Linked DNA regions of Alligator mississippiensis. The protein of the gene in region 3 binds, or shares a complex with, the protein of the main gene of each other region. Links are inferred from orthologs where the notes say so. Each region holds a gene or a part of one and is shown on either strand. Other genes may lie near its edges.

Region 1 (6,956 bases), on a different chromosome or scaffold from region 3:
TGTCATAAAGGCAATATCCTGCCTTGCAGAAGAGCCACCTCCTTTCAAGAGCCTCCTCCTCACAGCCTGATCTTAGATCCACTGCCCAACTCAGAAATCAGCCCTAATATTAGGTGCTCCTCCTGGACCTGTCCACCCAACACAGTACCCCTTCAGCTTGCTACAGCTGTTTCTCAACACCGCCATCCCAGCCTGCACCCACCTTCCTCCCAGACTGCTGACTCACACGGGAAGTGAGTCAGAGAAACTCACCGAGTGGGACATCTTTTTTCTGCCCTGTTGTATAGTTCAGCCCAGGATGGGCCATGGCTTGAGATTGTGGCACAGCCCTCCCTGTGCCTAGCCCACACCACCACATGAGCTGAACTCACTTTCTCCATCCTTGGCCTGCCCAGCTTCAGGCTGCCCCAGCCTTCCTACAGCAATGCATGTCACCTCTGCCCCACTAACTCAATCTCACTTGACAGCTCCCTACAAAATGTCTCCCAGAGTCCTTTGGGACACTAGGGTTGCAGTGAGTCTTGGCCTTCTACTGTTGCACCTTGGTGCAAGGAGGATACCTCTCAATATTCTCAGGCCCAATCCAAAAGCTGCCCTGCCTCTGAAGACAGCCCTACTTATCCTGGGGAACTAGACTGAGGAACAGGATATCGTCCTATCCTCATTGGCTGGAAAATAAATACAAATATGGAAAGCTGCCCTTGCAACACAAGACCAGGCCTTAGAGCACTTCATTCTGCTCTCCTCATCATCAGGCTGCCAATCAGTCCAACCCTTTGTCTCCCTCTGTTTAATACTTACCAGTCCTCAGTCTCAAGCCAGTTTCTACCCTTAACCTATATCCCTCTCTTGGGCCTGCAGTCTCCACCCAGCTCCAATGAACTAAACTCACAGGGCCTCTCTAGGTACTTGCCATGGCTTCACAAGGCTACTACCTTCTCCAAACCAAAACACTCAACAATACACTCCCTAAGATGCTCGCTTGTAGCCTCCACTCTTCCCCTCTAGCCACCCCATGCCTCACAGCTAATATAAACTGAAAGAGAAACAAAAACAACTCATCTATGAGACCCTCTGCAGAGATCCTTCTCTCTTCAAGGTCTGGGCCAGAAAGCCCCCTCCAACCTAAAAGCCAGTCTTATATTGCCCTAGGCTCCATTCCCTTTGGGTCACCTGACCTCTAACTCTCAGAACCAGGCATAGGGCATCCTCTTCACTAATTAGTAAACTTATTTTTTGGAGCCCATCTCCATGGCCTGCATGTGCAGGTTGCTTTTCCATAAAGGGTTAAAGCTCTGCAGCCAGCTTCTTTGCAAGCTGCCCCCACAGCCTGCCCTCTGTGGCACTGCATTCACTCCACTCAACTAATAAGGATCAGGAGCCCCTATTACATACGCCTAGCCAGGCACAAACAGTGCACGGATGCTGAAAGAAACCAAGACACCATGTTGGTCTGACGAAGCTTTCCTTCTCAATTCATGGCAGAGGAGCAGCACTGCTTGCTCCTGGGGGACACAAGCTTATGCACATGTCCTATGGGCCACAGCAGTACCTGGTGACCAAGGCCCACAAGGCAACAGCTTCAGCTGCTGGCCAATTAGCAGCAGGTCAAGTCACCCACCATCAGCTATCCTTTACCCCTGGTAAGGGAGCCCCTCGCCCCAGACAACATTGAGTGATGGCATTTCTTTCCTGCCTTTGGCATGAAGGTGTGCCCTGTTTCAAACTGCATTTTCTTGTTTGGCGACTACATCACATCACTCCAACTTCTTCTCTGTTAGACCAGTGAGGCAATGAACCAGACTGCCTAGGGAAGCTGTGAACTCTCCTTCACAGGAGGGGTTCAAGAACAGGTGAGACAATCATTGGACAGGGATGATCTAGCTACGCCCAAGGGTGCTTTTAGAGCACCAGCTAGAAGCCCAGAAGCTCCCCGACATACACCGCTGGCTGGAGATAACTAGAGGAACAGTACAGCCTAGAGCAGGCTATGCTCAGCAGCAGAACGAAGCAGAGCTCCTTGACTGGCTGAGTTACATAAGGCTAAACCAGTCAGGACAAGCTTACGGCAGGGACAGAGCAGGTCAGGCCACCCAGGGAGAGGCTGCAATGGGTGGCATTGTACATGCTGGCCAAAACTGCTGGGCACAGTGCAAGGCACCTGGTATTTCCCAAGCGGCTGGGCTGGGCTGGGCAGGATTCCCCACTCCTGCTGCTACACCTGTGGGGGGACCTCGCTCACCTCCCCCAGAACTGCTGTGGACCAAACTGGGCCGTCCCAGGGCTCCTGCTGGGGCTAAGCCCCGACGCTCCTGGGGGAGGGGCTTGCCCCCCTGCCGCGGGTCAGACAGGTTCCCATGTGTGGTCTCAGGAGCCAGTTTCCCCCGCAGGGTTAGGCGGGACCCGCCCCAAAGCCACCGTCTCGCACTAGGACCCAGAGGCCACTTCCGGCTCGCGAAGGTTTCACCCCCCTCCCCCCACCCGGCCAGTCCCGCCCGGGGGCTGCGCGAGGCGGAAAGTCCCTCACCGGCGGGCGGGGCCCCGGGCCCGGGGGCGGCGGGGCTGGCGCTGCTGCTGCTGCTGCTGGCGCCGGCGGTTCCGGAGCTGCTGGCGGGGGCGGGCGCGATGGGCTTGTAGGACATCCCCGACGGGCGACGGCCGCGCGGGGCTCCCGGCTCGTGGCGCGGATTGGCGGCGGCCCCCGCCGCGGCGCGCGACGCTGATTGGGCGGCCGGCGAGGCGCTTCGCGCCGATTGGCCGGCGCCGTTCACCCCTCGCTCCCGATTGGCTGCCGCTGCCCCGCTCTCCTCGCTGGGTCCCGGCGCTGCGGGGTCGGCAGTGCCCTCGCGTGGGGTGTGTGCGCGCGGTCGCGCTCAGGCAGGCCCGGCTCTCAGGAGGCGCGCTCCCGCGCTGGCCGGCTCGGGGCGCGCTCTCGCGCTGGGTGGGGCCGGTGCTGCGGCGCGTGGCTGCCAGCCAGACCCGCGCTCTGCTCGCCTCCGACCCCGGCTGGCCGCTCGCAGTGACGCCGCCGCTGCGCCTGCGCGCTCCGCCCCCCGCGCTCTGTGACCTCATCACGTCGCCCCGCCTCCCGATCGCCGCCGTCTCCAAGGAAACCAGCGGGACGCTCTGCGGCGCGGCCTGGCCTGGCCTGGCCGGGCGGGGCGGCTCGTGTCGTGTGTCGCACGGTGCGTAGGGCCTTCGTGTCCTCCTGCAGCACTTCGTGTTTGCGCCTCCTCCGCGTCCAGCCCGTGTGCAGCTCTTGCAGCCCGCCCCGCCGGCGCTCCGGGGCGCTGGGCAGGAAAAGGACCCCGGGAGGCTGCCTGCTTTCTGTGGTGCAAGAGAAGTGACCATTTTTGCCTGATCAGGCCACAGAAAGCAGCTTCTAGCTGTGACCAAACACAAGCACGCGGCTGCAGACAGCTTCAAAAACGGCCTGCCTGGTGAAAACCTGACCCCCTGTTGCAGGAGGGATCAGATAAAGACCTTTCAAACTAGCGTCTTCTGTAACTTGTGTCTGGGAGCTCCCAGCCTGTCGCTGTTTTCAGGACGGGAGGGGGAAAGGGGGCAGAGGGAGTACACCAGTGGGACAGGTGTATTGGAGGCCCCCTAGGTTCGGGGAGAGGCTCCAATTCACCTCTACCCTTTGGCACCAGCCAGGGAGCCCGAAGAAGAGCTCCCTCCATGGCCTTTCGCCTCTCTCATTCTCGAAAAGGTGAACGCTGGCACAGAGCTTCGCCATTGCTGTGGGAACCTGGCCTCCAGCTAGATCCCCCCCCAACCAACAGTGAACTTCTGTTTCGTCTGGGGTAAGCTTGTAACTCAGAACCAAAAGTCGTTTTGAGTTACAGCTGGCAGCTGCACCTCTTTCTGCATCCCTAGAGTTCCCTGTTCATGTGAGGGGGAAGGTAGGGAAAGCACCGCTGGCTCCAGGAGAGGGCATTACAGTGGGTGCTGCAGCCTCCCTAGGCCTTGTGGTCTTTAGCTTCCCAGTGGCATTTCTCTTGGAAGCATTGGTGACGCGTAGGGGGAGTGTAGGTCAAATCATCATGAGATGATTCAGTCTAATTCACAAAGAATTAAAATAAAATAAGTCTGTATCTAGGCTGCTTCAGAAGGGCACACTTGAAGTCAACCAGCCTAAGGAGCCCCGGGAATTGAATTCAAGTGCAGAAACTCAAAGATGCAAACATCTATCTGGACCTTGTATTCAGTGGGGAGGAGGGATATCACCTCAGGAAGGATATTTGGAATAAGCAGAGTCTGCAAAAAGTGGGATAAATGGTCAGAACAGCCCAGAAAGCTAAGAAATTTAAGAATAAAGTGAGAATTGCTAAACATTAAGACGTGTTAGACATTGCAACATTTAAGAAAAATAACAAAAGAAATAGAGAACAAGGACAGAAGCGGGGTGGCTAGTATGCAGTGAGGGGTGCAATGTGGGCCACAAACTGAGTAAATACTGGGTGTGTCTACAGGAGATGCTTTACTGCACAATAGACTAATTTACTGCGTAGTAAAGTGTCACTATTTATCCATATGCCAAGCTACTGCATTATAGGCTAATGTGCAGTTATCTACTACCTGAAAATACATGTAGTAGTAGATCAAGTGTACATTAGCCACTGTGCAGTAGTGCATGTGCAGATGCTGGCCAGGAGCATTTGCTCTGGGCCAGTCCAGGCACCAGGGGGCCCACTGCTGCCAGGCTAAGCCCCATGTGGCAGGAGCTGTGCTGGCTGCAGGGGCAACTGTCTCCCTGCCACATAGGGACAGGGACTGTCCTGATCACCACATGGCTGGGAGAGCTGTCCTGGCAGCCAGGACTGCTGCATCCCAGCCAAGTGGGACTCAGGATCCCAATAGCTACATGACCGAGAGAGGTGTCCCCACATGGCCAGAAGAAACATCCTCACCTGGCAGAGACAGCCATGTGGGGATGGGAAGGGTCCTCTCCCAGTCATGTGGGGATCAGGACCCTCCTGATTCCCATATGGCTGCCAGGCAGCACCCCTCTCCCAGCCACTTGGGTCCAATCCCCACGTGGCTGGGATTCAGCAGTCCCAGCTGCTAGGACAGCTTTTCCCCTACACGTGGTGATTGGGACCAGCTCCCTGCCCTTTGCCAGCCGGGAGCTGGCACCTCGGGGAGCCTGGAGCTCCCCCTGGCTGCTGCAACAAGGCAGAGCAGGGCAGGGGGGAGGGGGCACAGGGACATCCCTTGTCTCACCTGCTCCAGTTGGGAGCAAATTTGCCAGCACACATGTAAGACTTTTCCCCAGGTGCAATTTACTACTCCTTTTTTAATGTGCAGTAAGTGCATTTATAGCACATGTAGATGCACCCACTTCTCATTTTGCAGTAAGGAAAGTTAGGCTGACAGTGGAGCCAAAGGCAGGGTGAGAGGGTATGGAAATGGAAATGACCACGGCTGAATGGGAAACAGAATACTAAGAGCTCAATGTGCCCATGTAGGGGTGGGGGCTTGGCAGTCTGCATCCTGGAATTCTGAAAGACTCAACACCCACAATCACAGGTCTGGGAGCAAGGATTTGTAATTAATCTATCAAATCAAGAATTGTATCCTATGGCTAGAAAATAAATAGTGCCTGTATTTATTGAGAAAGGAGTGACCTGGGCAACTAGAGGCCTGTTTAGGTTGAGATTCTGCCCAAGTCAAAGGGCTAGTTGTGTTAGCATGGTTAAAACAAGCCAGTTTCCAGTCAGCAGCACACAAGGGAATGATGTGGCTAGTATCACTGCCAGCTCCTTTTAATTTCCCAGCCACAGAAACCTGGTATCTATTTATAGCTAAGTCAACTGTTGGCAGCTTTTGGCACAACTCCACAGCAGGGCTCAAATTCACACTTTGAGCAAGACACCTTTACAGTTTCATCAGCACATCTGTTAGTCTGGCCTTAATAATATGAAGATGTTTTAATTAATTTTAATCGTTGCATTTTGAATTAATTTTGAAGACTAAAAATTAGTTATATGGAAAATGGGAAAAATTACAATACGAGTTTACAAAAGTTTAAACATTCCATCCTGCATCTTCACTAAGATAGCAGTCTTTCTAGACCAAGAACATGTAGTAGAGCTCATTTGTCTGGACTTCAGAGAAGCATTTGAAAGAATGTCACCTAGGAAATTATTAGCTAAACTGAAAGCAATGAATACTATACAAGAACTGTTGGGTGAGTAAGGACCTGATTAAAGGGAAGATGACAGCTGGTAGCATTGAAAGGGGAAATATTGGGCTGAATAACAGAAGGGAGTGCCTCCAGGATCGGTCTTGAGACTGAAATTATTTTCTTTAATGACCTTGGCACAAATAGCAGGAGTGTGTTATCAATAAATTTCATTAACAAACTAATACTGATTGACCCAGTGCAGAGTACACCTTGGCTTAGTCTGCCCCCTTTCCTGCCTACACACAAAATAGACCTGTCCTCATCTCCAGTCCCATCTCCCCAGATCACAAAACAGGGATTCCACTCACTCCCAACCCTAGTGCTCCACACACAATATGGTCCCTCAACTAAGGTGACCACCCGTTCCTAATTGGGCAGGACAGTCCCAAAATTTAAAGGTCAAATCCTTGTCCCAGGCTGCTTGACTCCTGGACAGCATTTGTCCTGGGTTTCCCAGTAGCATGCAGGGAGCCAGGTTTTCCATTTGCTGTGGAAAACTGTGGGAAACAGCAGGTTTCCCCTTTCAGCCTGCAAGGGGCTGCTTGGGGCTAAGGGAAGCAAGACATGGGAGGAGCCACATGCATGTGTGCACTCACGCATGTGGCCAGCAACACAGCCCCAGGCAGCAGGGGAGAGCAGCTCCCCCAGCTGCCTACAGATAAGTCTGGGGTGGGGAGGCAGATTGAGGTCCCCATGGTGAGGGAGGGAGTGGGGCAGGGTTAGCAGCTGAGGCTGGGGCTGGGGATGCTACCCAGCCGGGGTGGTG
Region 2 (7,950 bases), on a different chromosome or scaffold from region 3:
AGCCTGGGCTGGCTTAAACCTTGGCAGCTAGATTAAAGCTTGCATTGGTTTGCCTTCCTGCCCTGCAATTGCAGTTTCCATTTCTGTGTAGACACACTTTTACAGACTCAAAACAAGGGCTCTTTATTCTGTATTCAGGTTTAATAATAAAATAAGGGAATTCTTTTAACTCCAGACCATGTGAGAAGCTGCCCACTAACTTTCATCCAGAAGTAGGCTGGAAAAGGAAGTTTACTGATAAGAGTATCTATTTGTTCTCTTGGAGGCCCTGACAATATCCTCCTGAATAGGTAAAATCCCAATCCCACAACAGTGAATTTACATCAGAGCACATTAGTAGCCAGAAGGGGCAGAAGTCCAAGCAGCAAGTCCCAAACCAAAGCTCCCCAATATATTCAGAGGTCAGTTTTGCCCAACACAACATTCCTAGAGATGCAAAATCCAAACAGATACCGGTGATCACACAGGCAGCCAATTCAGTGCAAAGCCACTCAAACCTGCCTAAAACAAAGATGGAAAATACACATTTGATTGTTTCCAAAAGCAGCCCATATTCATACTCCTGTGAATGTTTGGTGAAGAAAAGCATCTCTGTTATAGCTAAGAGACATGATCTGAAAAGTTTAGAACGAGCAGTCAAATTCGGCACTTGATTTCTGCAACTGATGCTCTGACCTCCTTTTCAAGTTGCCATTCATCTATAAACCAAGGTGATCTGCAAGCGTTGTACATGTATACATACAATATACATTTAGGAAATATAGCATCCATATTAGAGCGCAAAACAGAGTTTCCTGAAAGGCACTGTAGGTCCTGTAAGTCCCTACAAGAGTTGTCTACCAGCCAAACAGGGAAAAAATGCCGTGAGAAAGATAAGACTCAACTGTTAGTTCTGGAGGACAGATAAACAGATTTCACAGGTCAACAGGAACAAAGCTATGGCCCAGACCACGAACAAATCCCTGGCAACAGTTTGCACAAGCGTATGACCATACCACAATAAAATAATGTTCAGCACAACTGCTGTCAAACTAACTTCCAAACTTGGTTTTAAGAGTTATTACCATCTACATTTACTGAGTCAAAAAAACAGCCTAGTATAGGCCTACGATCACTAGGGCAGGTACTGGTTGATTCATACATGGGTCATCATCCATACAAGCACCAAAGTATCTCAGGAGGACAATATGACTGGGTGACCAAAACAACTACAGGCTTCCCTTGCCAACCACTAGCCATTCAGGTTAGATTCCTGAAAGTTCCTGTGGTAGGCAAGACAAAAGGCATATATGAAAAATGGCAGGGGGCGGGCCGATACGCAGCCGTGGAAAACTGGGGTTACTTAGAACTGTATACCGTTTTGGCTACCACAGTATACAGAATTTTAAGCGTGGAGACTCAAAACCATGGTTGGCGAAGGAAACCTGTAGTCAATATATCATCAGAATCAAGATGGTCTATTCACAGCTGCTCATGACCTAATCACATCTTGTGTGCACCCATCTCCTGTGCGAGTTACAACAAAGTTTGAAGCAGAAAGGTACTTGTTTCCAAACTCAGGGGCAACCAACACAGCCTCCTACTTCTAGTCACACTCAACAGAGTAGTCATCTAGAAATAGTTCCATCATCCCTGTAGGTCTTGGCAACATGACAAGTGAAGGTTTCATCCACATGTAAGTTAACAGAGTGGTAATCACGATAAATAGTCTTTGCCTTGAACAGCATGGCCTACAGAGCAGCTCTCTGTCTTCCAAGCAAAGCAAAGCAACACCTTAGAGACTAACTCATTCAGTTACTAAGGTGCCACCCTGCCCTGCCTTCAGACTAACAGGGCTAACTATCGCTCTAAGCCAATACAACTAGAGAGACTGGTACTCACTAACAGAACAGCCAGGCCCTCAGAAACCCCGTTTACAAACTGCGACAAGAAACGAGCCGAAAGCCAGCAAAACTTCTTGTTCTTCACCGTCCAGGTCTCAAGCGTCTCCAATCCATGGCAGCGGCGCTCAACCCTCGCCACCATCTTCCCAGTGGCCCAAGGGGCAAAGTCATGGCAACCAAATTGTAGTACGGTCTCATCATCAAGCCAAAACGCAGCCAGGAGGAAGGTATCCATGTCCTGGCATTTCACGGAGGGCCAGGCAACAGGGAGGTGCAACAAGTTGCACAGGGAGAGCCATATCCATGAGCAGGACCGGGAGGACAACAGCAAGCCCCCGTCGGGGCTGGGGCTGCTGCAACTTCCTGCCGCTCTCCCACCTGTCAGGTTTTCTTTGTTAAATCTACTCTAGTCCATCTCCCCACCCCAAGAGAGCGAGCGCCACAGCGCACTCGGGACCCCCGCGCCCTGGGGCCGAAGCAGTGCAGGGGTCTCCGATTCCCCCCGCCCGCCGCCAGCCTGAGACGGGCTCCGCGACCAGCTCCCCCGAGGGAGCGGGCGGAGGGCCGAGGCCGCCCCGAAAGCTCGGCCTCACCGCGGGGCCCGTGCTCGCCCCGGGCCAGCGCCGGCCAGGATGCGCAGGGCGGGGGCGGCAGGCAGCACACACCCGCGCCCCTCCAGCCAGCGCTGCCCCGGCCCTCTCTCTTCGCCCCCCAGCCCCGGGACATGCTCCAGCCTCACGCACCCCCGGCCCGGCCCGTGACGCCGCCGCACACGGGGAGGAGCGGCCGGCCAGCCGGCAGGCGGGAGAGAGAGAGGCAGGTAGGGGGCCGGGGCCCCTCCGCGGGGACTCTTACCTCCGACCCGGTACATGTTGGCGGCCATGCCCGGGCGGGGAGCGCGGGGGCCCGGCCCGCTCCCACCGCCGCTGCCTCCAGGTGCCGGAGCCGCTGGAAAATGGAGGCTGGAGCGGCCGGGAGGGGGAGGGGAACGAGGGAATTAAAGGGGCCGCGCCGGCCGCCGCCTCCCCCGGCCGGCAGGGAAGGCGAGGCGAGGCGAGGCGAGGCGAAGCGAAGGGAGGGCCGGGCCGAGAGAGGGCTGGCACTCGGGCGGGGTGGAGGTGATGGTGGCGGCGTCGCGAGGCCTAGGCCGCCCTGCCTCGCCCCGCCCCACCTGACCCGCCCCGCCCCGCCCCGCCCCGCCCCGGGAGCGCGGCGGCCCGGCCCGGCCCGGCCCTGCTCTGCTATGCTCTGTTCAGCGCCGAGAGCGGGCTCTGCTGGGCCTCGGCCCCGGCGGGTGGGGGGCCCTCCCCGCCCCGGGTCTGCCAGGCCCCCGGGGAGGCAGGCGGGCTCCTGGCCTGGACCGCGCAGGTGCCACCCACCGCCCTGGGGAACCCCGTTTGAACCCGCTGGGTGGCTGGGGCATGGGCACCGGGCTGGTCCCACACAGAGCACCGCCTGCGCCATCTCTGGCCTGACCCCATCCCACGTTAAAGCCCCGCACCAAGCGACTTCCTACTGCTGAACAAGAAACTGCCCGTAGCGAAACAAAGGATCCAGGCGCAGGAGCCTTAAAGCCGCTTGTCTGAGGCCGTGGTTACACCAAGCCAGGCCCCGGTTGCTTAAGCCCTTCTGGCGGTGGTCGCGGCCACAGGAAAGCGCAGTTAAAACCGAGCTTGAGATGGACAGCGACAGGGACCGTTTCCTGCCGCACGCAGCCAGGGCAGGATGGCTACTGCACCTCAACAACACGCAGGCCCCCAGCTTCCTAGCTTCTGGGTTTAAGGTCACACCTTTCTTTCAGTAAAAACAACACTAAACATTAGAAAAATTAAAGGTGCCTCCCTCATTCCCCTGTTAGGCCTTATCCCAGCCTTGAGGGTTTTGGCCAATCAATTCGCTCCAGGAGGAGCGGGAATCACAGTTCACTAGGGTTGTGGTTCAAGTGCCATCGCCATTAGGCGAGAGGCAAGGATTCCTCGGGGCGACATCTTTTATTGAACATGCTGCATAGCTGGGGTAGAGTTAGACCAGGATTCAAATGCAAGACCTCCAATAGGTCTCTAGGCTTGTCTAGCTGTATCCCAACTATACAGTTAAGTCCAATAAGAGATGTCATCCTAAGAAATCCTCGCCTCTTGCATAATTCCTTGACCATCACAGCTACAACATCACTCTAACACTACCGCTGCTAAAAGGAGCACCCGTCAAGTCTGCTGCACGTGGAGCTGGCTGGTGGTAGTTGCTGCTCCTTCTGTGCTGAGTTCCTTAACCAGTGTGGACGACACAGAAACTCTGTACCATTACGTTCGGTGACAGCAGCTGGTGTTGTCCAGTACTTCCCATCCAATTTTAATAGGGCCGAGTGTCCAGGTTTATCTTCAAGTAAGCTTTAGGCAGCATTCTGACAGTTAAAGAAGAAAGCCAAAAGATGTCTTTGGAGTCAGCACCCTAGAGCTTTTGTATCCTTTAAACTAGGATTACTCAAGCCTAAAATGTACTTCTGAGGTTAGAGCCTTGTTTTTCAACTGACCTGAGGTAACTCTTGTGACTGAAGCAGACATGGCTGTGGAGCTCAGAGCTAGCGTTGAATTTTTTATTTTTTTTTTGTAGACTTTTCTTAGTAATATAATATACAGCTTTCTCTGGTATTACATTCCCTGGGGGAAGGCTAGAATTAATATTGAAATTGTTCTATAATCACCATAAGTTGAAATTCAGGGCTGGCAAATATAATCCATTGTCAGCAACCATTTTTCAGAGGTCAAACTGGAAAAAAAAAGTCTTCTAACTTTCCCTAAGCCCTTTTGGCTTACAGGTTTAATGAGAAGTAGCATTTTTATAAAGCTAGAAAAAGTTAATGGTTATTGACCAGACCTGCCTCATTTCCTCCTTCTCATCAAAGGAAGTTATTCGAATTGCCTTTCTTTCAGATCACTCAAGATTTGCATGTTTTTACCTTCATTTTAGGCCCTGTGGTGTATTGGGTCAGCACACTAACATCCAGGCTAACACTAGTATTTTTGAGGTCCTGCTACTCCTTATGCAGTCTTTACAACAGGTCACTCTGCAGGGACTGTGGGATCACAGTACAAATACTATAGGTAATCAAACTTTTCTCTTTACAGAGTTAAACTCTCATTAAATAGATGTCACAGACTGCATGGTAAACCCCTGATACATAATCAAGCCAATCTTGTTTGAAAACTTTGGAACCGGCTTGCAGAGACAGACCAAACAGCTATTTTAATCGGTTCTTTTTTTTTTTTCTGGCAAGAGTGAGCAGAAACTCTTTTACATATATGGCCTCTGGAGAGGTCAGATCATAAAATAGGGCTCTTCGAGAAAGCGTAACCACTTTTACAGGCTCTCTAAAAGATTGGCAACTGCTTCAGTATGTATTATAGCAATACACTTGAAAGTTAAACCCATGAGCAATCTCTGGCATTTAAGATGCGTTTTGTCTGTTTGTGAGGGTACAAGTGGTTTGTGCTCCATCACCAACATGAAATTATTAAATGTTTTCAAATATCCTACAAATTACTTGTGCGTTTGTTAATCAGAAATTCTCTCTGTTTCAGCATGGCTTCTCTTGGAGTCTTCATATGCAATAGTCAAGATTTCCAAAGCTTTTTAAAATGTTTACCTCTACAAATGCAAAAGGGCTAAATCCTCCATTGTCTTTGAAAATCTCAACCAATAGTTTTCTGAATAGCGTTCCAGCCACTCATCTTCCATTAATCTGTGCAACTAAAGCACAAACTTACCAAGATCATAGCTGCTGGTTTCTACTGAAATAGCTACAAACCTGGAAGCATCATCAAATAGCACTATTGGGGATACAGTAAGTAGATGCATCAGACCCTCAAAAACACATTCCTTTACCTTATCTCAGGTTTGCCTTCATTGTTTTATGCAAATAACTACAAACGTGCCTTTCAAGGGTTCCAAAATCTAGCAATTACTGAGACATAATACCATTTCTATTTTCACAGCGATGGCCTTTCAGCTGTGGCTTTGATTTCTTTTGTCACTGCCCTAACCCTTTCTTTATCAATCAATATAACTAGTTTGCTGGAACATACATCTTTATCAGTTTAGCTTTAGTCAATTATCTTCAGTTGCCCTCTAAATTTACTTTAGCTTTAAGTTGAGCTTAATAGATTCCGTTCAACTACAATGTCATCCACAAACTCCTTTGCTTCAGGCCCCAATGAATCTAATTTCCATGCAGAAGATTTCTGAGATATTTGTGACACTGAACAGGAAACAGTGAAATTCACTGTGCCAACTGATGACACTGCCTGCTTGCCATTACTAGGGTAGAACAGCACTTAACAGAAATCTTCAGCTACATGCAATAAGGAGACTACTGTTGCACAAGATTATTTGGAGAGGAAGCCAGTAATTCTCCCAACTGATGCATCTATTTTGCAGTGTTTTGAGGGCAAAACCGTGTTAATTGGGAGTCTTCAAGTGGCTTGAAGCTGGGGTAGAGACTCTAATGCCAACCTCCATCCCAGATTCACAAGTTCAAAGTCATTCTAGCAACCCTCAGCAGTGAAGACAATTTCATAAACTAAAGGCAGCAGGGTATAATTTACAGGAATTCTGGGACTGCTAGAAGTTGTACCAGGAACAGAAGTGACCCCAGTCAGCAATGGGATAAAGATGCCACTATTCTTCCCTTAATCTCCCCCTCTCTGGTCTTTCACCAAATGAGAATTTCTCTCTCTTCCACTGCTGTTTTCATAGACATTAGGGCTGGAAGGGACCTCAGAAGATCATCGAGTCCAGCCCCCTAACCCAAGGGACAGGAAGTCAGCTGCGGTCATAGGATCCCAGCAACTTAAGCATCCAAATTTCTCTTGAAGGCATTCAGTGTAGGTGCTTGAACCACCTCCCATGGCAGGCTATTCCAGACCTTGGGGGCTTGGACAGTAAAGAAATTCTTCCTTATGTCCAGCCAGAAATGGTCTTGCAGTAGTTTATAACCATTTGACCTCGTCATCCCTTGGGGCGCTCTGGTGAACAATCATTCCCCCAGGTCCTGGTGAACACCCCTGATAAACTTATAGCTGGCCATCAGGTTGCCCCTCAGCCTGAACTTTTCCAGGCTAAAGAGCCCCATAACTCTCAGCCTGTCGTCATAAGGTCTGTTTTCCTGACCTCTGATCATGCACGTGGCTCTTCTCTGGACTCTCTCAAGCTTCTGCACATCCTTTTTTAATTGTGGAGCCCAAAACTGGACACAATACTCCAGCTGCAGCCTCACCAAGCCTGAGTACAATGGGAGAATGACGTCCCAGGATTTATTTGAGAAGTATCTCTGGATGCAAGCCAGTGTTTTGCTCACTTTACTAGCCACAGCATCACATTGAAGGCTTATGTTCATCTTGTGGTCAATCATGACCCCCAAGTCCTTTTCATTCATAGTACTAGCCAGCGTAGCACTGCTGAGCCTATAAGGTTGCTGCAGGTTTTTCCTCCCAAGGTGGAGAAACTTGCATTTTTGGTGTTGAACACCATCAGGTTCTCATTCACTCATTTCCTGGGCCTGTCAAGGTCAGCCTGGATCACTCTCCTGTCCTCAGGTGTGGATGCTTTACCCCAGAGTTTGGTGTCATCGGCAAACTTGGCCAGTCCGCTTCTGACTCCAATGTCCACATCATTAATGAAGATGTTGAAAAATACAGGTCCAAGGACAGAACCTTGGGGGACCCCACTGGTCACAGGGCACCATGGCGATTGACTTCTGTCAACCACCACCCTCTGGGTCCGACCACAGAGCCAATTCCCCAGCCAGTGGATCATGGTGGACCCGAGGCTGCAGTTGACCAGTGTTGCCAAGAGGTGATCATGGGATACCAGATTGAAGGCTTTTTTGAAGTCAAGATATACGATATCAATCTCCTCTCCCTTGTCCAGGTGACAGGTAGGTCACCTGGTCATAAAAAGAAATGAGGTTGGTCAAGCAAGACCTACCCGCAACAAACCCATGCTGGCTATCCCTCAGGATATTGCCATCAGCTAGTCTGTTAAGGATGGCCTCTTTGACAATCTTTTCCAA
Region 3 (6,822 bases):
TCCTAGCAACACACATTCGAAACAAGTCTGGCTAGTCAGATTATGCCACACTGAATAAGAGAGTAATAGCTCCAATACACCCTGTGTTCCCTCCTTATCATCCCCCCCGCCCCCGCAAAAAATCACTATCCATCCCCTCTTTTTGTCTCAGTGACACTTTTCTGAGCAGAGCCACATGAAATATTTGAGGATTAGAAAGTTCTTTAGCTCAGCAGACATAGCAAAGATTGAGCAAGTGGGCTGCCGAGTCCTGCAGATGTGGCCAGCAAAGTGGCACAGGAGAAAAGTGGGGGGAGGGAAAAGGAAGAGAGAGAGGGAGCCACACCTTGGTCTTTGGGATAGACAGACTACAACACAGCAGAAAGTCCAAGGACCAGCTAGGCTGGAATCAGAGCATGGGCTCCATCCCAAGATCTCCCATAAAAATGTTTTCAGCACAAGAGACCCTGCAATGGCAAGCAAAGATCAAAACTGTCATCTGCTGCTTGCCTCTCTCCCACCTGCATAGTTGCTGCTTAGGGCAAACTCGCTGAAATCCAGTGCAACAGGATCCACAAACCCTTCTTCAAGCACAAGTCAGCAAGCTCAATCCCTCATCACTGTAATGCATTGCCAGCTCCCCCACACACTCCCATCTGTTCCCCCTCCCCCCACACAAAGCCCAGAGGAGCATGGACAGCCAGACAGCTTTTTCCTTTGTGACAAGATCCATAGCAGTCCAACCATTCGCCTTCCCCTGCCGCCCCGCCCATTACAGAGTCACTCGCTCTCCCTCCAAGGGAAAATGGCCTCCTGACCACAGGAGCTAAGCCAGATGGGGGAAGCCACAAGTCACAACAACCAAAGGACAAGAGAGAAAGGAAGTGCTCAGCCTGGGATCCTGTATCTTTGGGCAGAGAGAGTATTCTTGCCACATTTCTAATTGACATAAGTATGCCTTCATCCAGCAACATTTACTGAATCCTACCCACAAGTGTGGGCTCCATAATCTACCCCTCCAGCAAGTTCTGATTTAGAACTGTCTGATGTCCCTACACCATTTAGTACATTGCCCAAGCTTCTTAACTTCCCAGTGACTTAACCAATGAGGGGCCTGGCCCCGACCCTAACAAGGCTTCCTTTTCCTAGGCTCACAGATACCCTCTTCAGGAGGAGATGCTGGAACACCATTTTTCAGCTTCTTTCCATTGCTTCACTCTCACCCAGTCCCTCGAGATTTCTCCAGAGCTCTGCAGCTACTAGGAGGACCCCAAAAACAAACTGGCCATAATAAGCCATACCATGGCATTCTGTTGACAAGACTTTGCTGCCACCTTTCACCTATGGCGTGAAAAGGCAGTTCAGAAGCAAATTCAGGCTCATGTTTTACAACCCACTACTCCAGGATACACATTCATCCTTGTTTTACAGGTTGAGAGAAGAGGTAGAGATCTATACAGTAACAATGCTGGGAATGAAGTAGCAGTTATAAATCCCAGTCTCTTTAGCTCTCAGTCTCTGTGTGAGGCACGTGGACTACGTTTACAAAGAAGAGGCAGATACAGGGACTGCAGGTTAATACACCAGAGGATTGCATCCTACAACCACACTGCAGTCAGTACGTCTACTGCAACAAAGAGAGGGCTAAGGGGAGCAGCAGAGCAGGATCCAGGAGAAGCTGAGAGAACAGGGTGTGGTGGGTAAAGAAACTGGGTCATGCAATAGCCCAGGGCAGTTTGCTCTGGACGCTAGCAGGTCTAAGCTCCCAAGTGAAGAAGTGCAAACCCGACACCCTGCCCCAACGCAGAATCCTCCCGCCAGCCATGAAGTGTGCACCTTCTAGAGGCGGTGGGTGGCTCCATCAGGGTACATGTTCCCACCCACCAGCAACAGCTTGCAATGAGAAACTTCACCTCACTGAACTGCAGGACCAGCCGCTCTTAAAAACAACCATTAAGGCCCAAATATTCCAATCAGACGCGAAATCCTCCGAACAATACAAGTTTCTCCTGCCACTGTCTCCCACAGCACCACTGACTTGACCAAGACAGAAGAGAGCCACAGCTTGCCGCAGCAGAGATCCTGACAGTGCTATCCATACCTGGATGCTGAGGAATACTGTTGTTCAGCAGGATCTCCATCTCATCATCATCGCTACCAGCAGAGCAGGGTGACAGCGGACCAATGCCTGATGCCATGTCTTCCCAAAGCAGGGACACCAGGGCTTACACAGCTCGTGCAGCCTTGTCTCCTTCCTCCTGCCCGTCAGCTTCCTGAAAAGGGAGAAGGAAAGTAAGTTACAGCAGCCGGCAGGAGACCCACCCTGCAGAGAAGGGATTGCCCCCCCGCAGCACGTGGGGAGCGGACTGGAGAACTGGGAAGGGGGCGGCTGCGCGCGGGTACCAGCCCCCATCCTCCCCCGGCAACGAAGCCGAGCAGCAGAGTCCTGCCTGGCGGGAGCCGCGCCACGGCCCGGAGGGGACGCCTGGGGCCGGCGGGCGCACGCCTGCCTGCCAGGGCCGGCTCTGCCTGTCGACGAGAAGGCGGCCTGGGCCGGGGCCAGCGCCAGGGGCCCGGGGCAGCAGCCGCGCCAGTCGGCAGGCCCGGCCCACGCCTCCAGTCCCCGACCACGCCGTGCCGCGCCGGCCCAGGGGGCTCCCCCGCCCGGCCCTGGCCCCGGCCCCGCCCCCGGGGCTGCCCCTAGCGGCCGGCGCGGCGTGGCCGGGGGACAACAAAGGCCGCGTCCAGGCCGGCGGGGGCGGGCGGGGCAGGAGGCGCTCGGGTGCCGCGTCGCGGTGGGGCCGGGGCCGGGCGGCAGGTGCGCCCCGTGCAGGCTGGGCCGGGCGCGGGGCCCCACGGGGCGCCGGGCGGGCACGCGAGGGACCCGGGGCGGCACCCCCTGCCACCCCCCCGGCCGCGTCTTCTCCCGGCTCCTCACCCAGTCCCACTCGCCGCCGCTGAAGGGAAAATGGCTCCTGCCCCGGTGCCGCCTCTTAAAGGGGGGAAAAAAACCCCAGCCAGGCCCCGCCTACTCTCACCTCCATCCCATAATATGCTCCGGCACCTCGGCAACGAGCCCCGCCCCTGTCACCCGGGCAACCAGACATCCCATAATATTTACCCTCCACTCAGAACTCCCCACTCACTTGCCCGGCCTTGCATCCCATAATAATCAACTCCCCCCCTTTCCATCAGGAACATCCCATAATAGAACCCTTCCTCGGAGAAACATCCCATAATATACTCCCCACACTCTAACCCCTTCACTCCAACATCCCATAATACTCCTTTGCACCAACCCACGATAATGCCCCCTGCCTCACCCTCACCCTCCCTCCCCGAGACATCCCATAATAACCTCCACACTCTCCCCCCCACAGACCTCCACCTCCACCCCCCACCAACCCATAATAGTTCCTCCCCCCCACCTACACATCCTGCGGTAACCCCCCGCCCCCTCACGGAGGTATCCTGTCACTGCCTGGCCTGGCATCCCATAATAAGCCCTGCCCCCTCTTCAAGCCCCCTACTACCAGGTGCCACAATAGCCCCATAACATCCCATAATAGTCATGCCCCCTGATATGTATCCCATAATAGTCACCTTCTCCACCTCCTCCCCCACCCATGCTGCGTTCAGCCAGCCATCCCATAATAGTAGCCGGGAGCCACGGTCCAGCCCGGCATCCCATAATACTCTCAGCAACTCTTAGCCACAACCCACAATACTCGCACTCACTGCCCGCTCCCTCACTCCAGCCAAGCAGCCCATAATAATCGCATTCATATGTCCCCCCTCCATGCAGGCGGACCAGGCTGAGCAGGGTGCCAGCTAACAGCCCACGGTACTTGGGCCCCTCCACTGCCCACCAACCTCCTTGTACCCCTGACCGCTCACTTCCAGGCCCCCTCCCCGCCTTTGTATGTGGAGCATAGTAACCACTGGGGGCACGGGGCCAGCCTGCAGCCCATAATACTCTGGCATAGCCTGCCAGGATTCTTTATGCCTCCAGATGATGCAGACTCCACATACCCCAGAGTGCTCAGCGCCCCTCCAACACGCACCCAGGCAGCGAGCCCATGCTAGCTGACCTCCAGGCACACGTCTCACAGTCATCAGCTCACCCACTCTTCAAAGGGAGTCCAGCATCCAGCACTGCACCCACAAGGCATGGCAGCCCATGGTGCAGAGCTGTGCCTGTGAACCACTACCAACCTCATGTCCCATTGTGCTAGCCTCTTCATGGCTCAGGACAAGTGTAGTGGCTTCTTAACCTGGCAGGGGAAATATCATATATCTGTGTCCATGAAGGCAGTTTTCCTGAACCACACCCCGGGAGAACTGCTCTTCTGGCGTGGTTCAGTACCTGCTGAGGTGCAGTGGCTTTAAGCCCACTTTATGGAAATGGGAGTCTCCTCCCTTGCAACCAAGGGCCTTCTGGCTAAAGGCAGGCAAAACTCAGGGACATCCAAACCCCAACTCTCCAGGCTTGGGCCTGCAAGTAGGATGCCTACCAAAGGATTTGGAAACATCTGAAGCCCGAAGTGTGGGTGGAGTAGAGCCACTGATGGTTCTGGACTCTTGGATCTGGAATTAGTTTTGGTTAATTTGGCCTCGGCTATAAATTAAAAACAAACAAATGAACAAAAATACCCTCTCCCATTATGCTAGCTGCTCCTGGCCACAGACACGAGCATCCCATCATGCTAGAAACATGGCTGTGCCATAATGGTATCCTGCTTCCTCCCAGTATACACACAGACTGCCCATGATAGCATTTCTTGTTCCTTGTACACTCCAGCATTCATCGAGTGCTTCTGTGTGTATGTGTGTGCACGCGCACATGCATGTTTGTTGTTACGGACATCCCATATTACTGTTCACACCTTTCATTCCCTATACAAACATCTCGTATTGTAATTCTTCCCTTCCTTCTGTTATCCCATGGTACATACTGGCATGCTACTTACTTATCCCTCCCAGTATATGCAGAACACCCTACTTCCCCTTCACAGTGCACACAGATTTCCCAGAATGCAATCCCAACTCTAATCACTTTATTTTATACATGTAAATGCTCTAAGAATATTTATCCCAGGTCAGGCACACACAGCCCATAATACAAGGCATCCTTCCATTATAAACAGTGGCACTCATAAAACTCCCCATATCCCAATTACACACAGACATTTTTCCTGTTTATAGGCTTGAGACACTTTAGAGTTTTCGGTTTTTGGTTGTAGCCGTGCTGGTCTAAGGACATAAGCAGACAAGGTTCTTTGGGCAGATGTGATATCTTTTATTAGACGCTTCATAGCATTGTCCTTTCCTTACTAGTCATACTAATCATCACTTTATAATGACATGGGCATTCCATAAAAATACAAATAACCCAATAATACATACTTTCGTACAATATAATTAATCCCTCATCATACAAAGTGACATCCCATTAAATATATCAGATCTTCATTGTACTTATTGATGTCCCATAATATTAACCGCTCCAGTTTACCAGGACATTCCACAACTCCCAGTTATTGAGGCAGACATTCCATATTGTCCATCCTACTCGTTACATACATGGTCATTGCATAATGTTACCCATCCTCCATTACATCATGCTATTCATCCTTCCTCCTCCCCCATTACGTGCACAAATGTCCCACAATTTTACCCATACTGTATCTGAAGCACATGAATCCTCAGGATACTGCTGAAGGCCTTCATGTTACACACACTGCCACACTGCAGTACAAACTGTTCTTCATCCCACACATCACATAATACTACCTATACACACATTATATGCACAGATTTTCCCTACCACTGTCTCTTTCCTGCCACTATATGCGTGGACATCCCATCAGGCTAGCAAACCTTTCACTATATATATATATATGGACATTCTATAATAGGACCTTCGTTGTTAGCATGTACATTTGATAGTATTATCCATCTTTGATTATACTTAATTGCACCCATTATATGCTCCAACATCCTGTAACTATAAGAACAAATTCCCTTACGTGATCCATCTCAGCCAGTTCCGTGCACATCCTTCTTATATTATTACCCAAACTTGATTTTACACCCCAAATACTATTACACTGTTCACCTTCTTCTTGTACATATATAAGTCCCATGACACTCTATTCATCTGTGTAATCAATATACACGTACAGCACAGGTCTTCACCTCACTGTTTTCTCCCTTGCATAGTGATAATAATATTATTCTTTATCTAAGGATCTACAGATTAAAGCTGTTGTATAAGCACTAAGACTTATTATTAACATGAATACTATGCATCTTCCATTCTATACATAAATATATGTGATACTGTCATCAAGTATAGATACGTACATCTTCTAATAACAGCAGCATCCATTCCCTACATTTTATACACAGACATCAACAATGTTTTTCATTCCCTCATTTACCTACTGACTTCACATAATACTCTCTATTAAGGTTGTGATTTGTTGAAGAGATCTGTGTAACTCCATGGTAAACAGGCAGGCCAGCCCTCTGCACAGTTAGTTATTATAGAATTCCAGATATACCCATAAGATCTTAGCTTCTAGGGGTGTGATCAACAAGTTAAAAAGTAACATTCTGGCAGAGGTTGAATAAAGCCAGTTACCAGAGTTGGTTTCATGTATACTTTGTAACAATCTCCCTCTTAGGGGCTTTGACCTGGAGTGGGCTGTGTGCTACTCTGGTATAATGTAAATCAAACAGATATACAACAAATTCATGGGTAAAATATTTCCATTTTCCACACATTTTCCATTTAGCTAACATTCACTGAAATCTTTCATTATTCTGAATTCAAAACAT

Evidence for each region.
Region 1: CHD4 (region 3) and CDK2AP2 share a complex: the UniProt entries of both Homo sapiens proteins name them as parts of the nucleosome remodeling and deacetylase (NuRD) repressor complex. The link is inferred for Alligator mississippiensis from reciprocal best matches to the Homo sapiens genes CHD4 and CDK2AP2.
Region 2: CHD4 (region 3) and MTA1 share a complex: the UniProt entries of both Homo sapiens proteins name them as parts of the nucleosome remodeling and deacetylase (NuRD) repressor complex. The link is inferred for Alligator mississippiensis from reciprocal best matches to the Homo sapiens genes CHD4 and MTA1.

What each region holds. Positions count from the first base shown.
Region 1 is NC_081825.1:170,472,901-170,479,856, forward strand, and holds the start of CDK2AP2 (cyclin-dependent kinase 2-associated protein 2), read right to left. Parts: upstream 3,020-6,956; 5' UTR 2,643-3,019; coding exon 2,528-2,642; intron 1-2,527. UniProt on the Homo sapiens protein: Acts as a component of the histone deacetylase NuRD complex which participates in the remodeling of chromatin.
Region 2 is NC_081828.1:43,019,326-43,027,275, forward strand, and holds the start of MTA1 (metastasis-associated protein MTA1), read right to left. Parts: upstream 3,020-7,950; 5' UTR 2,767-3,019; coding exon 2,739-2,766; intron 1-2,738. UniProt on the Homo sapiens protein: Transcriptional coregulator which can act as both a transcriptional corepressor and coactivator. Acts as a component of the histone deacetylase NuRD complex which participates in the remodeling of chromatin.
Region 3 is NC_081824.1:243,465,195-243,472,016, forward strand, and holds the start of CHD4 (chromodomain-helicase-DNA-binding protein 4), read right to left. Parts: upstream 3,019-6,822; 5' UTR 2,918-3,018; intron 2,253-2,917; 5' UTR 2,178-2,252; coding exon 2,081-2,177; intron 1-2,080. UniProt on the Homo sapiens protein: ATP-dependent chromatin-remodeling factor that binds and distorts nucleosomal DNA. Acts as a component of the histone deacetylase NuRD complex which participates in the remodeling of chromatin.